Linked DNA regions of Arabidopsis thaliana. The protein of the gene in region 1 interacts with the protein of each later gene in a pairwise test. Each region holds a gene or a part of one and is shown in the gene's direction. Other genes may lie near its edges.

The links.
Region 2: the proteins of ROH1 (region 1) and EXO70A1 interact in a two-hybrid assay, tested with the Arabidopsis thaliana proteins (one study listed by BioGRID).

The regions. Positions count from the first base shown.
Region 1 is NC_003070.9:23,725,684-23,729,930, forward strand, and holds ROH1 (uncharacterized protein), read left to right. Parts: upstream 1-2,110; 5' UTR 2,111-2,243; coding exon 2,244-3,491; 3' UTR 3,492-3,720; downstream 3,721-4,247. UniProt on the Arabidopsis thaliana protein: Required for seed coat mucilage deposition.
Region 2 is NC_003076.8:887,498-894,703, forward strand, and holds EXO70A1 (exocyst subunit exo70 family protein A1), read left to right. Parts: upstream 1-2,068; 5' UTR 2,069-2,108; coding exon 2,109-2,267; intron 2,268-2,390; coding exon 2,391-2,486; exon of another isoform or gene 2,487-2,606; coding exon 2,607-2,812; intron 2,813-3,019; coding exon 3,020-3,097; intron 3,098-3,192; coding exon 3,193-3,423; intron 3,424-4,008; coding exon 4,009-4,147; intron 4,148-4,224; coding exon 4,225-4,437; intron 4,438-5,048; coding exon 5,049-5,254; intron 5,255-5,372; coding exon 5,373-5,573; intron 5,574-5,674; coding exon 5,675-5,774; intron 5,775-5,863; coding exon 5,864-5,964; intron 5,965-6,056; coding exon 6,057-6,203; intron 6,204-6,301; coding exon 6,302-6,419; 3' UTR 6,420-6,670; downstream 6,671-7,206. UniProt on the Arabidopsis thaliana protein: Component of the exocyst complex involved in the docking of exocytic vesicles with fusion sites on the plasma membrane during regulated or polarized secretion. Involved in polarized cell growth and organ morphogenesis.

The DNA.
Region 1 (4,247 bases):
AAAAAAAACAAATCCATGTAACATAGTAGTTTTGAGACATTGAAAATGATGAAATATCATTTTTTTCTCCGATTTTCTCTTATTGACAAATGGCAAAATATCCTAATATAGCATTAAAATAAGTTTTATGAAAAATTATATCATATCATTCTACAAACTTACCAAAATAGTATTAGTTAGTGATGTACTAGCTATTTTGCCTTCACTGAAAAAGCTTTTAAACAATTAAATAGGTCTTCATAAATAATTATAAATCACATCCCAATGATATGAGATTACATTTTTATGAATGTAGTATTGAATTGTTTTTTATAATTTAGTGATTTGAGTTGGAACACTTAAAATATTGACGACTCTAGTTCATATAATTTCGAAGCCATTTTTTTAAAAAAATCAACAATTATGTAAGTGCCCCTTAGATTTTCAACAATTAAATACGGCTTCTTAGTTCTTAAACAAGAGTATTGACCCTAAAAATGACTATTCTAGTTCTTTTTAGTGTATATGTTATGTTAGGAAGTATTCATGTGGAAATTTGTGATCTAAAATGGGCTTCGTGGACTCAGAGAAGAAATTGATGGAGAGAACTTGGGCTATATTCTTTAACACAAAGAATTTGGGCTATAACAATATTCTGTCTGAATTCATGATTAAGTTTTACCCTTCTTTTATGGTGAAAAATGAAAACTGTGACAATCATAATTTTTTAAAATAAAATATGAAAACGGTGGCAATCATATTTCTTCTTGCATGTTTCACGAACGATGCCATAAACTTGAAGTTAATATTCATTTTTCATTTTATTTAAGGAAATTCTGAATCTGAAATATTTTCGGTAAAAATATTACGGAAACAAACTTAGAAACTCGTCTTTTTGGGCTATTAAAGAGCATGTGACAGACTCTTGGAACTGGAAATCTTTACTTAAGCTGCGATCTTTGGCAGAAAGGTTTGTCATATGCAGTGTGGGAAATGGTAAGACTGCTAGCTTTTGGCTCGATAATTGGACGCCTCTTGGCCCCTTAATTAAGTTTTTGGGTGATGATGAGCCGAGAATCTGCCGTATTCCCCTAAATGCAAGAGTTGCCGATGCTTGCAACCATCATGACTGGACTCTTGTTTCCCCGAGGTCTGATTCTGCGGTGTCATTCCACAGTCATTTGACCACCATTAGTTTGCCAAGTCTTTCCTCCATAGATGATTCTTACTCCTGGATTGTGGATGCGATAAATTGCAAAGGGTTCTCTTCTAAGCGGACTTGGGAAGCGATCAGGCCGAGAGAAGATATTAAAGAGTGGTACAAAGCAATATGGTTCAAAGGCGCAACTCCCAAGCATGCTTTCACAATGTGGACTGCACAGTTAGATCGTTTGCCTACAAGAACTCGTCTCGCTTCATGGGGTTTAATGATCCCCATCGATTGTTGTCTATGCTCTGGTTTTGATGAATCTAGAGACCATATTTTTCTTCATTGTGAGTATAGTAGGGATTTGTGGCATGCTATTCAGCAGAGGTTAGGTCTACCACCTACAAACTTTGGCTCTTGGGCTGGCTTGTTGACTTGGCTTAGGTGCAAGACTGACAGCTCTCCTTCTATTCTCCGGAAAGTTTCTGTACAAACTTTGGTTTACAACGTTTGGCGCGAGAGAAACAATAGGTTTTTCAATCTTCGCTCCATTCCATCTTCTCAGATATTCATTGTGATTGATAGATTGATAAGAAACACGATATCACAGCAAGAAGACATCGTCATCTTTTCCAAAGCTTAATATCGTCATCTTTTCCAAAGCTTAATGCGTTTATGGATTCGTTGACTGCAGTTTGTTTCTGCATTAAATCGATTTGTTGCCACGTATTTTTTACTTCTTTTTTTTGCCGTGGTAACAAAAGCTTGGGTTTACTTGTTGTATAACTCTTTTCATTAATATGATATTTACAGTTTGACAAAAAAAAACAAAAAAAATCAGAATAATTGGAAATCCAATCATATTATCACAGTTTTCATTTACCAAAAAAGAGTATAATGTCATGACTCACGTAATAATATTACTATAGTAATAACGAAACCTCTACAAGGACAAAACTGGAAACAAAAAAAGGAGATAACTGCGCACGAAGAACGGGTCTCAAGCTTTCCGACAAGACATGCGCACCACAAATTTATTTAGTCTCCGTATATAAATCCTCCATTTCCAAAACCTTCCCAATCTTCTTCTTCTTCTTCTTTCTCCTTCAAACAAATCATGAGACCTGCGCAAGATAATCAAGGCTCGTTCCTTGGCCGGATTAGTATCCGTCGCAACCAATTCGTCGACGTCAACAACGAACAAGAACAAGAAGATCTCGAGCTTTTCCAAAAACACATCGCCGATCGTTTCACCGAGCTTCTTTCTCCTCCTCAACCACCACCGTCAGATGAAATTAACACGGTAGCTTCCGTAGCCGCGACGGAGCAGATTATGTCCGTGACTTGGCTTCGTAAGCTGATGGATGTTTTCCTCTGTTGCGAAGCTGAATTCAAAGCGATTTTGTTAATGGGTCGTGACCCGACCCAGATTTCTAAGCCGCCTTTTGACCGGTTAGTTCCTGAAATGTTAGACCGGTCGATTAAAGCGCTTGACATTTGTACCGCCGTTGTTAACGGTATCGATTCCGTTAGACATTACCAGCGTTTAGCTGAGATTGCTGTGACGGCTTTGGAGCAACGTCCGTTAGGTGACGGTAACGTGAGGAGAGCTAAACGCGCGTTGGCGAATCTCGTCGTCGCGTTGAGTCTCGAGGATAAAGAGAATGTTAGCGGCGGAGGTGGTGGCGGCGGCGGAGGGAATAAGACGACGGAGAGATCGTGGTCGTTTGGTCGTCGAAGCGGTGGATCATCGGCGGCGAGTAAAGGAGGAGCAACGATTGGTCAGCTCAAATCGTCGTCGTGGGCGGTTGGGAGAAATTGGTCGGCGGCGAAGCAGATCCACGCAATGACAGCGAATCTTACGCCGCCACGTGGTAACGAAGCGGCGGGATTGCCTCAACCAATGTTTATAATGAGTACGGTGATGGTTTTCGTAATGTGGGTGCTAACGGCGGCGGTTCCGTGTCAGGAGAGATCAGGATTAGCGAATCATTTACCAGTGCCGCCGAAACATTTGAATTGGGCTCAGAGTTTGATCGGAATCCATGAGAAAATCGGAGATGAGTGGAAGAAGAAAGAGAAGAAAGGATCTGCTGGATTGATGGAGGAGATGACGAGGATGGAGAAGCTAGGTCACTCGTTGATGGAATTCGCAGATGGATTTCATTATCCGGCGGAGAAAGATGCTGCTGAATCTGCGGCGGTGCAAGTGGCGGAGATGGCGGAGATATGCAGGAGAATGGAGGAGGAGCTTGTGCCGTTACAGCAACAGATCAGAGAAGTTTTTCATAGGATCGTGAGGAGTCGTGCGGAGATTCTCGAGGTGTTGGAGCAAGCCGGGAAAGTTTCGGCGCCAGTTGTGTAAAAGTTTTGAATTATTGGGAATCAATTTCGAAGTTTTGTAATTCTTTGGGGGCTAATAGGATATTTTATTTTCTTGGTTTCGTCTATTGTTGTTTTTCTATTTATGGTTGGGCTTTTAGAACTCTGGACAGGCCCATGTCATATGTTTTCCCTTCTCCTTATATTTTTCATTTTTCATTTTGTTAAATTAATGCATAATATCCAAAAACAATTTAAATTTTTGAAGGAACCCTTTAGTTACGGCTCCGAAGCTTTCACAAGTGAGAATGTGAGATCAAAGAAGGCAAATGGAGGATTTTAAAAGTTAAAATCATCTTTTATCTGCAAAAGTTGACAATTTTTTTGTATCAAATCTAAATCATCAAACTCTCTTAAACTACAAGAGCATAACAACCTCTATGTAATCCATGAAATAATCTGCTTGAAGGACATAACATAAATCATTATGGCTAGAGTGACTAACTTCAATCAAATCCTCTTAACTCTAGCTCCCTTACAATGGTATCGTAAAACATTATGCATTAGGGATTGTTGTCCTAGGAAAATAAAATAAAAATCCCCACAGACCAACTACCATTTTAACTTAAAAATAAGCTTCGTCCGCGACGAATTGTTTTCCATCCTAAAAATAGAATGGTGTAATCTGCTAATGGTTTAGTTCCATTAACTTGCAAGTTCTATTGAAAGCCTAAATGTCAATAAAGATATTAAAATTCGGAGTCAAAAGACAAATGAATCAAAAGCAACAAGACAAGTC
Region 2 (7,206 bases), on another chromosome or scaffold:
ACACTTTGCTTCACTCAAACGTCTCTGTTTTGGTTTCCAGGTTCTTTTGTCGACGTGTGTGTGTAGCGTTTTGGAATCGCGGCTGCGGTTGCCATATCTATTAACCACTGCGGTTGGAGACTAACCGTTTTCGTGGGCTACCAATTGAAACGATTTGATTTTGTCAGTTAGTTTGTTAAAGCGTTTTAAATTAGCGATTGTAAAAAGGGAATGAGCATTATTTTTGGACAGACTAATTTAAACAGTCTAAAAAATTAGACGATTCATTGAACCGCTTAGAAAAAGTGGTTGGAATTCATTATTATTTTTAAATTTTAATGTGTCTATACTTTCATGAATTTTGTTTTTTATATCTATAAAACAATTTATGATATGTCACTAGCTTACTATACATATTTTTTTAGTCATTAACATCATTTCTCATTGCTTTAGGCTATATTGTATTCTCTACAATATAAATTGAAATAAGGAAAAAAAAAACTTACAATGACTAAATTTTAGTCACCAATGGAACTAATTATTTTGTAAGAAGGTTGAAAACTACTTTTTTTTTTTTCTAGAAGAGTCGGCGAACAGTGATGGTTAAATGAATTATGGGAGCCATGTTTGGCCTTCGTCTGCTGTCAGCCAAGCCCCTGCGAAACCCCACCCCTGGCCTGTGCAAAAGTTTACGCGCGCATTCTGAGAACGTGCTTTCCACGCTCCGATTAAGACGTCACTAAGAGTCAAAGCACTTTGATTTTCTCTTCTTTTCTCACAAAACACTTTCTTTTTTTATATACAGTATGATTTTTTTTTTTGTCGTCATTTTTTTTTATTTATTTATTTAATATGCCTCTTATGGTAAAACATATTTCAAGAAGGTTTATGTTTCTATAAACTAAAAGTTATCAACGGCAGATGAATAAATATGGAACTAATTTTCTCTCTAAATATCCAAAAATATGAGAATGTTGTCCATGGTTTTGGGAACAGAATGAGTGACGGAAAAGCCATGAAAAGAAAAGGTATCTTAGGAATATCATCTTCCTTTTGCTCGCCTAACCTTTTTTTATTGTTCTTCTCTTTTTGAATTTAAAATATTTTTCTGCTCTCTAGTAAACATTTAAACCATCGTAATAAATTGAGAATAAAGTGTGTGTATGTTTGTGTGTGTGAATGTTCGGTGTGATTTCAATTTATTGGAGGATAGAACTGTTGTGTCGAAATTGACACACCAAGGTGCCAAGTTGAGTACAAAATAAAGATCCTCTAGAGGCTACATCTTCGTCTAACAATCCTCATAAGTCTTCTTCTTCTTCTTTTTTTTTTAGTTTTCAACACACTAATGTCAAGTGTTTTGTTCATTTCTTTTTAGTTATAATATGTCTCTTGAGAAAATGTTGATATTTAGTTTGTTGTTGAGCCATTTATTTTCTGAGACAAATTTGGTCGTTAATGGATAATATTCTTAGAGATAGATCTACAGTACTGTGACTTTTGTGTAAAAACAAATTTGTAGCCGTATTTAATGGGCTATTTCGTATTTGGACAATAGCCTTTTATTTTGTGGGCCATGATATGTCAACACTGCTCAATGCTTATAAATGTTGTCGACATTTAACGAACGATATAACACCAAAAACTTCGAGTTTGTAAAGAAAAATTATGAGAGGATTACATTATGGTTAGCATATCTGACTATAATAAATTGAAAAATTACATTACTGGTTGATGGAAAGACAAATTTTTATTGAAGTGTACTTATTTCTTTAATTTTATTGGAATATAATATTCGATATGTGTTATTATGGTTAGCGTCTGCATATATTAATTTACGATTACATTATTGGTTAATGGAAATACAAAATTTTATTGAACCTTAATTATTTCTATAATTCTGTTATAAAAATATTTAAAACAGAGGTCAATATTTTTAAGAGAATGTTCAACAATCTGGTTAAGTAAGGGGAAAGAAAAAGCTTAGCTGGCTTTGAACCGGCTCGGCATTCCTCTGTCACCCACCAAACCAAACCGAGTCATCCTTCGTCGTCTCTCTTTCTTTTTCTTCAACTTCCATTTTTCGAAAGGCGACGAGAAAAAGTATTTCTCCAGTTTTGGAATTCGCCATGGCTGTTGATAGCAGAATGGATCTGCTAAGCGAAAGAGCTGTGTTGATGAGAGCATCTCTTCAAAAGAGTCAAACCATCACCGATAATGTTGTTTCTATCCTCGGCTCCTTCGATAGTCGTCTGTCTGCTCTTGAAACCGCCATGCGTCCTACTCAGGTGTGGTTTAGAGTGCTCCGATCATCTTCTCTGATTGTTTTCTAATCCAGATCTGGTATTATAGCTCTATGGAGTTTTGCTGACTTGATCGGATTTTGGTTTGACTGTGTTTTGAAATCTCAGATTAGGACTCATGCTATAAGGAAAGCTCATGAGAATATTGATAGGACTCTTAAGGCTGCTGAAGTTATTTTGTCTCAATTCGATCTCCTCCGTCAGGTTTGTTTTACAAATCTTGCTTCTGATTTTACTAACATGGATCGGTATAAATAGATAGAATTGATAATGATCTACATTGAGAATAGATAGTCTTTGATTATGCTCTCAATTCAATTCTAGGCAGAGACTAAAGTACTCAAGGGGCCACATGAGGACCTGGAAAGTTATCTGGATGCAATTGCTCAACTCAGAAAGATTATTCGTTATTTTATGAGCAACAAAAGCTTTAAGAGTAGTGATGGAGTTCTCAACCACGCAAATAGTTTGCTTGCTAAAGCACAGTCAAAGCTGGAGGAAGAGTTTAAGCAGTTGCTAGCTTCTTACAGGTTTGTGCTTCTGCGCCTGATAAGAGTTTAAGAAGCTACATGATTTCAAACTTGATGCTCTTGCTATAACTATGACTCATACCTTGTAACTTCAGGGAACAAAGCTATTGTGGATTTTTAGCTACTTTTTCTAGTTAGTATTTTTTTGGGAACTGGTCTTCGCTCTATGATGGTCTTACTTCTTTAGTTATCTTTCAAATAACCTAGAATACTTAGAATGACCTTTTATCTAAATTATCGGAGTTGTCACCTGACAAAGATTTTTTTTTGTGAAATCAAACACTTGTCAATATACAAGTTTCCTATGATACGAGTGTTCCAGACAACTGGTTTTAGATGGAAGAATGCTAAGGCCAACTCTTTTTTTTTGTTATAATCAGTAAAGCGGTGGAGCCTGATCGCCTATTTGATGGCCTTCCCAACTCACTGAGACCATCCTCAGACGGGGATGGAGGTGGAAAACCCCACGGAGGACATCACAATGATGACGCGGAAACTGCTGCTTATACACTTCCAATCCTCATTCCGTCACGGGTGTTGCCACTTTTGCATGACTTGGCACAGCAAATGGTTCAGGCTGGTCACCAACAACAGTTGCTACAAATTTATAGGTGAACTATTGATTCTTGGTCATTCATCCTGTATGTCGTACAGTTCATTTTCAAATCAGGCTCTTAGCTTAAATTTTCAACTAATAATTGTAGCATGAGTCAAAGTACTGAGTCAAGGTATAGTTTCTTTGAACGATTGCGGGTATACAATTAACTTACATATAATTCTCACCAGTCACCGCTCATTTACAAAGTAGTTTTTCCATGGTTTCTGCAAGTTGTGAGTTTATATTTGACTATCCTTCTGCTGTTTCACTAGTAAAGCTAAAGAGAAATGTTTTTGAAATATGAATTTCTATTGACACTCATCAAATAGTTTGGCTGTGATGTGCACATCGTGTACTCCGCTGTTTGTGCTTACCTGATCTGAAAACATTATTGCTAGATGCAATTCTGTTTGTCTCATATGTGTAATGCATTGGAGAAGCTTTGTCTTTTTTCTTCTATATGAACTACTAGTATTGTCAGATATAAGCAGCGAATTGCATAATCTACTGGCATTTTCCCAATGCATATTTAAGATGCATTTGTGTTTTTGAATTTGTTATTAATCTCCTTCTGTTCAACCTGTTGTGTTTTGTTCAGGGACACACGTTCCTTTGTCTTGGAAGAAAGCTTAAAGAAATTGGGAGTTGAAAAACTTAGCAAAGAGGATGTCCAGAGGATGCAGTGGGAAGTTTTGGAGGCCAAAATTGGAAATTGGATCCATTTCATGCGCATTGCTGTAAGAACTCTAGTTAAGGATGGAAATAACTTTAACATGTTTTGTTCACTTTTAACTCAAGATATTTTGTTCAACAGGTTAAATTACTCTTTGCTGGAGAAAGACAAGTATGTGACCAGATATTCCGAGGCTTCGATTCTCTAAGTGATCAGTGTTTTGCAGAAGTTACAGTGAGCAGTGTCTCAATGCTACTTAGCTTTGGGGATGCTATAGCCAGGAGCAAGAGATCTCCAGAAAAGTTGTTTGTACTCTTAGACATGTATGAGATAATGCGGGAGCTTCATACAGAGGTAATAATCTTCTCATTAATATCATTAAGTCGCCATACATTTACTGAAGAGTCTTCTGTTAAATGGAAAAATTATTCTTTAGTTTCAGCTTTTGGTGGATTTTTTCTGATCTTTAAGAATGTCAGTTTTCAGTATCATGAACTTTGGTACATACTTGATTCACCTTCAAACCTGTATTCATTTGTATAAGCTAGTGAGGTGAAATGTTATAGAATATAGGATGCTGCAAACGTCTAGTTTTATTGACACTGACACACATAACGATTTACCATATTAAGACGTAAAACTTCAGTTTGCATACGCATAGAGTTCACCACTTACTTCTTAGAGATGTCAAACCTAGCTGCTTTGTTTACTTGAGGAGTAATATATGGAAAGTGATTGTCTTTAATGTTTTTCTTCCCATGTGGAGTTTCTATCAATCAGATATGTTTTTGACCAACTGAAATCCCCACCATAATAAACAGCATGGCACACAGAGAAAAAACTTTGTGATACATATGTAGTGGAAGTTTGCTATCTAGGACGACATAAAGTGTGAATTTTCTTATGACCAGTTTATGGTATAAGATTAGATGGTACAATCTCATGAAATTTGTGTCCATGGACAGATTGAGACAATTTTCAAAGGGAAAGCATGCCTCGAAATTAGAGATTCTGCGACGGGCTTGACAAAGCGGTTGGCGCAAACTGCTCAGGAAACATTTGGTGATTTTGAAGAAGCTGTTGAGAAAGATGCTACAAAGACTGCTGTTCTAGATGGAACTGTCCACCCACTAACAAGCTATGTCATCAATTATGTCAAGTTTTTATTCGAGTAAGTACATCATATATACTCAACTTATTTCCTCGAACTATTTGCGTATTGTTCTTCTCCATACTGCTATTTGCGTATTGTCCCTTTCCACGCTTTAATTGATGATCATTGGTGTCAGCTACCAAACAACATTGAAGCAACTTTTCTTGGAATTTGGAAATGGAGATGACTCAAATTCGCAGCTAGCATCCGTAACGATGCGGATAATGCAGGCGCTTCAAAACAACTTGGACGGAAAATCGAAACAGTACAAAGATCCTGCATTGACACACTTGTTCCTGATGAACAACATTCATTACATGGTCAGATCTGTGCGCAGGTATATTATTTTTCTCGTTTAAACTTTAAAGGCTGATCTGGTTTTATTAAAAAAATAAAAGAACGCACTCATTTAGCTTTATTCATATGATAATTTTTCAGGTCAGAAGCCAAGGATTTGTTAGGCGATGATTGGGTTCAAAGACATAGGCGTATCGTGCAGCAACATGCAAACCAATACAAAAGAGTTGCCTGGACAAAGGTTCTGTCTATTTGTCTAACTCTGTAAAGAAACACTATTATATAAAATTTCATTAAATTGTTACTAAGAAACTGTTACATATTTTGTAGATACTACAAAGCTCATCGGCGCAAGGTTTGACCTCATCTGGGGGAGGAAGTTTAGAGGGAGGAAACAGCAGTGGAGTTTCAAGAGGATTATTAAAAGAGAGGTAAGTCCTAAACATGTAAAATAAACACAGTAATTGGCAAATGTTTATATATTTGGTAATGATGATAAATCTGTAAAAAAAAAATGGAACAGGTTCAAGATGTTCAATATGCAGTTTGATGAGTTGCATCAGAGACAATCGCAATGGACAGTTCCAGACACAGAGTTAAGAGAGTCACTAAGACTTGCTGTTGCTGAAGTATTATTGCCTGCTTATAGATCATTCCTCAAACGCTTTGGGTAAAAATCTCCTTTCTCTCTTTACTGCGAAGGCTTTTCTAATATTTGATTGAAATGTAAAAAAACCTAAATGAGATTTTAACCTATGATCGATGCAGGCCTTTGGTTGAGAGTGGGAAGAATCCTCAGAAATACATAAAGTATACAGCTGAAGATCTTGAAAGATTGTTGGGTGAGTTGTTTGAAGGAAAGTCTATGAATGAACCACGCCGGTAAAAAAACAACTAAAAGATGATGAAAACTAATTGTGTAAGGTAAATTTCTATCAAACTCTTCTTTTTTTTGGCTTACCTTACATAACTAGGTTCGTTGCTATTGTATATGCAGTGTCAACTTTTCGTTTTTTGTATTCTACTATTCTTTGGTTGGAATGAGAATGTGTAAATTACTTGGAGACAGAGTTGTTTCCTTTTGTATACGTTAAACGTTTTGAAATAACCATGGCCTAATAAGTCTAATCTCAACTCACAAGGATATGAAATCTTTTTTCTTAGAATGAAATTAATCGGAAATCAAAATCCTAGGCGTAATTTATAAAAAAAAATATGCAGTGAAGGAGCTAAGTTATAAGTTGATATGATTGACAATTGCTTTGAGACGAGCTTTGGTACTAAAGATCGAGCCAATAATATTTGTCCGAACAGCTGAACTAAGCTTGGGGACAAGATTGTCATGCGGATCAATTCTGTTATTTTCTTAATGGATTTTAGGTGATTAATCAGTTGTTATTGAACAGAACAAGACAGATAGAGCTCTACCGACTTGCATACTTAAATGAAAGAAATATGATTTATTAGTAAAATAAAGAGTGATGAGATGGTTTTGTTGTTTTAAAACACACATGTTTGGTAATTGGCATATTCCTTTTAGAAGATCCAAATTCTCCCAACATCTTTACATGGACTTCCCCATTTCCATCATCTCCTTCCACTTTTTTCCCAAAATAATATAAAAAAATGATAATTTGAATCGATGTAATGAGTGTATTCAACCTCTTGTATAA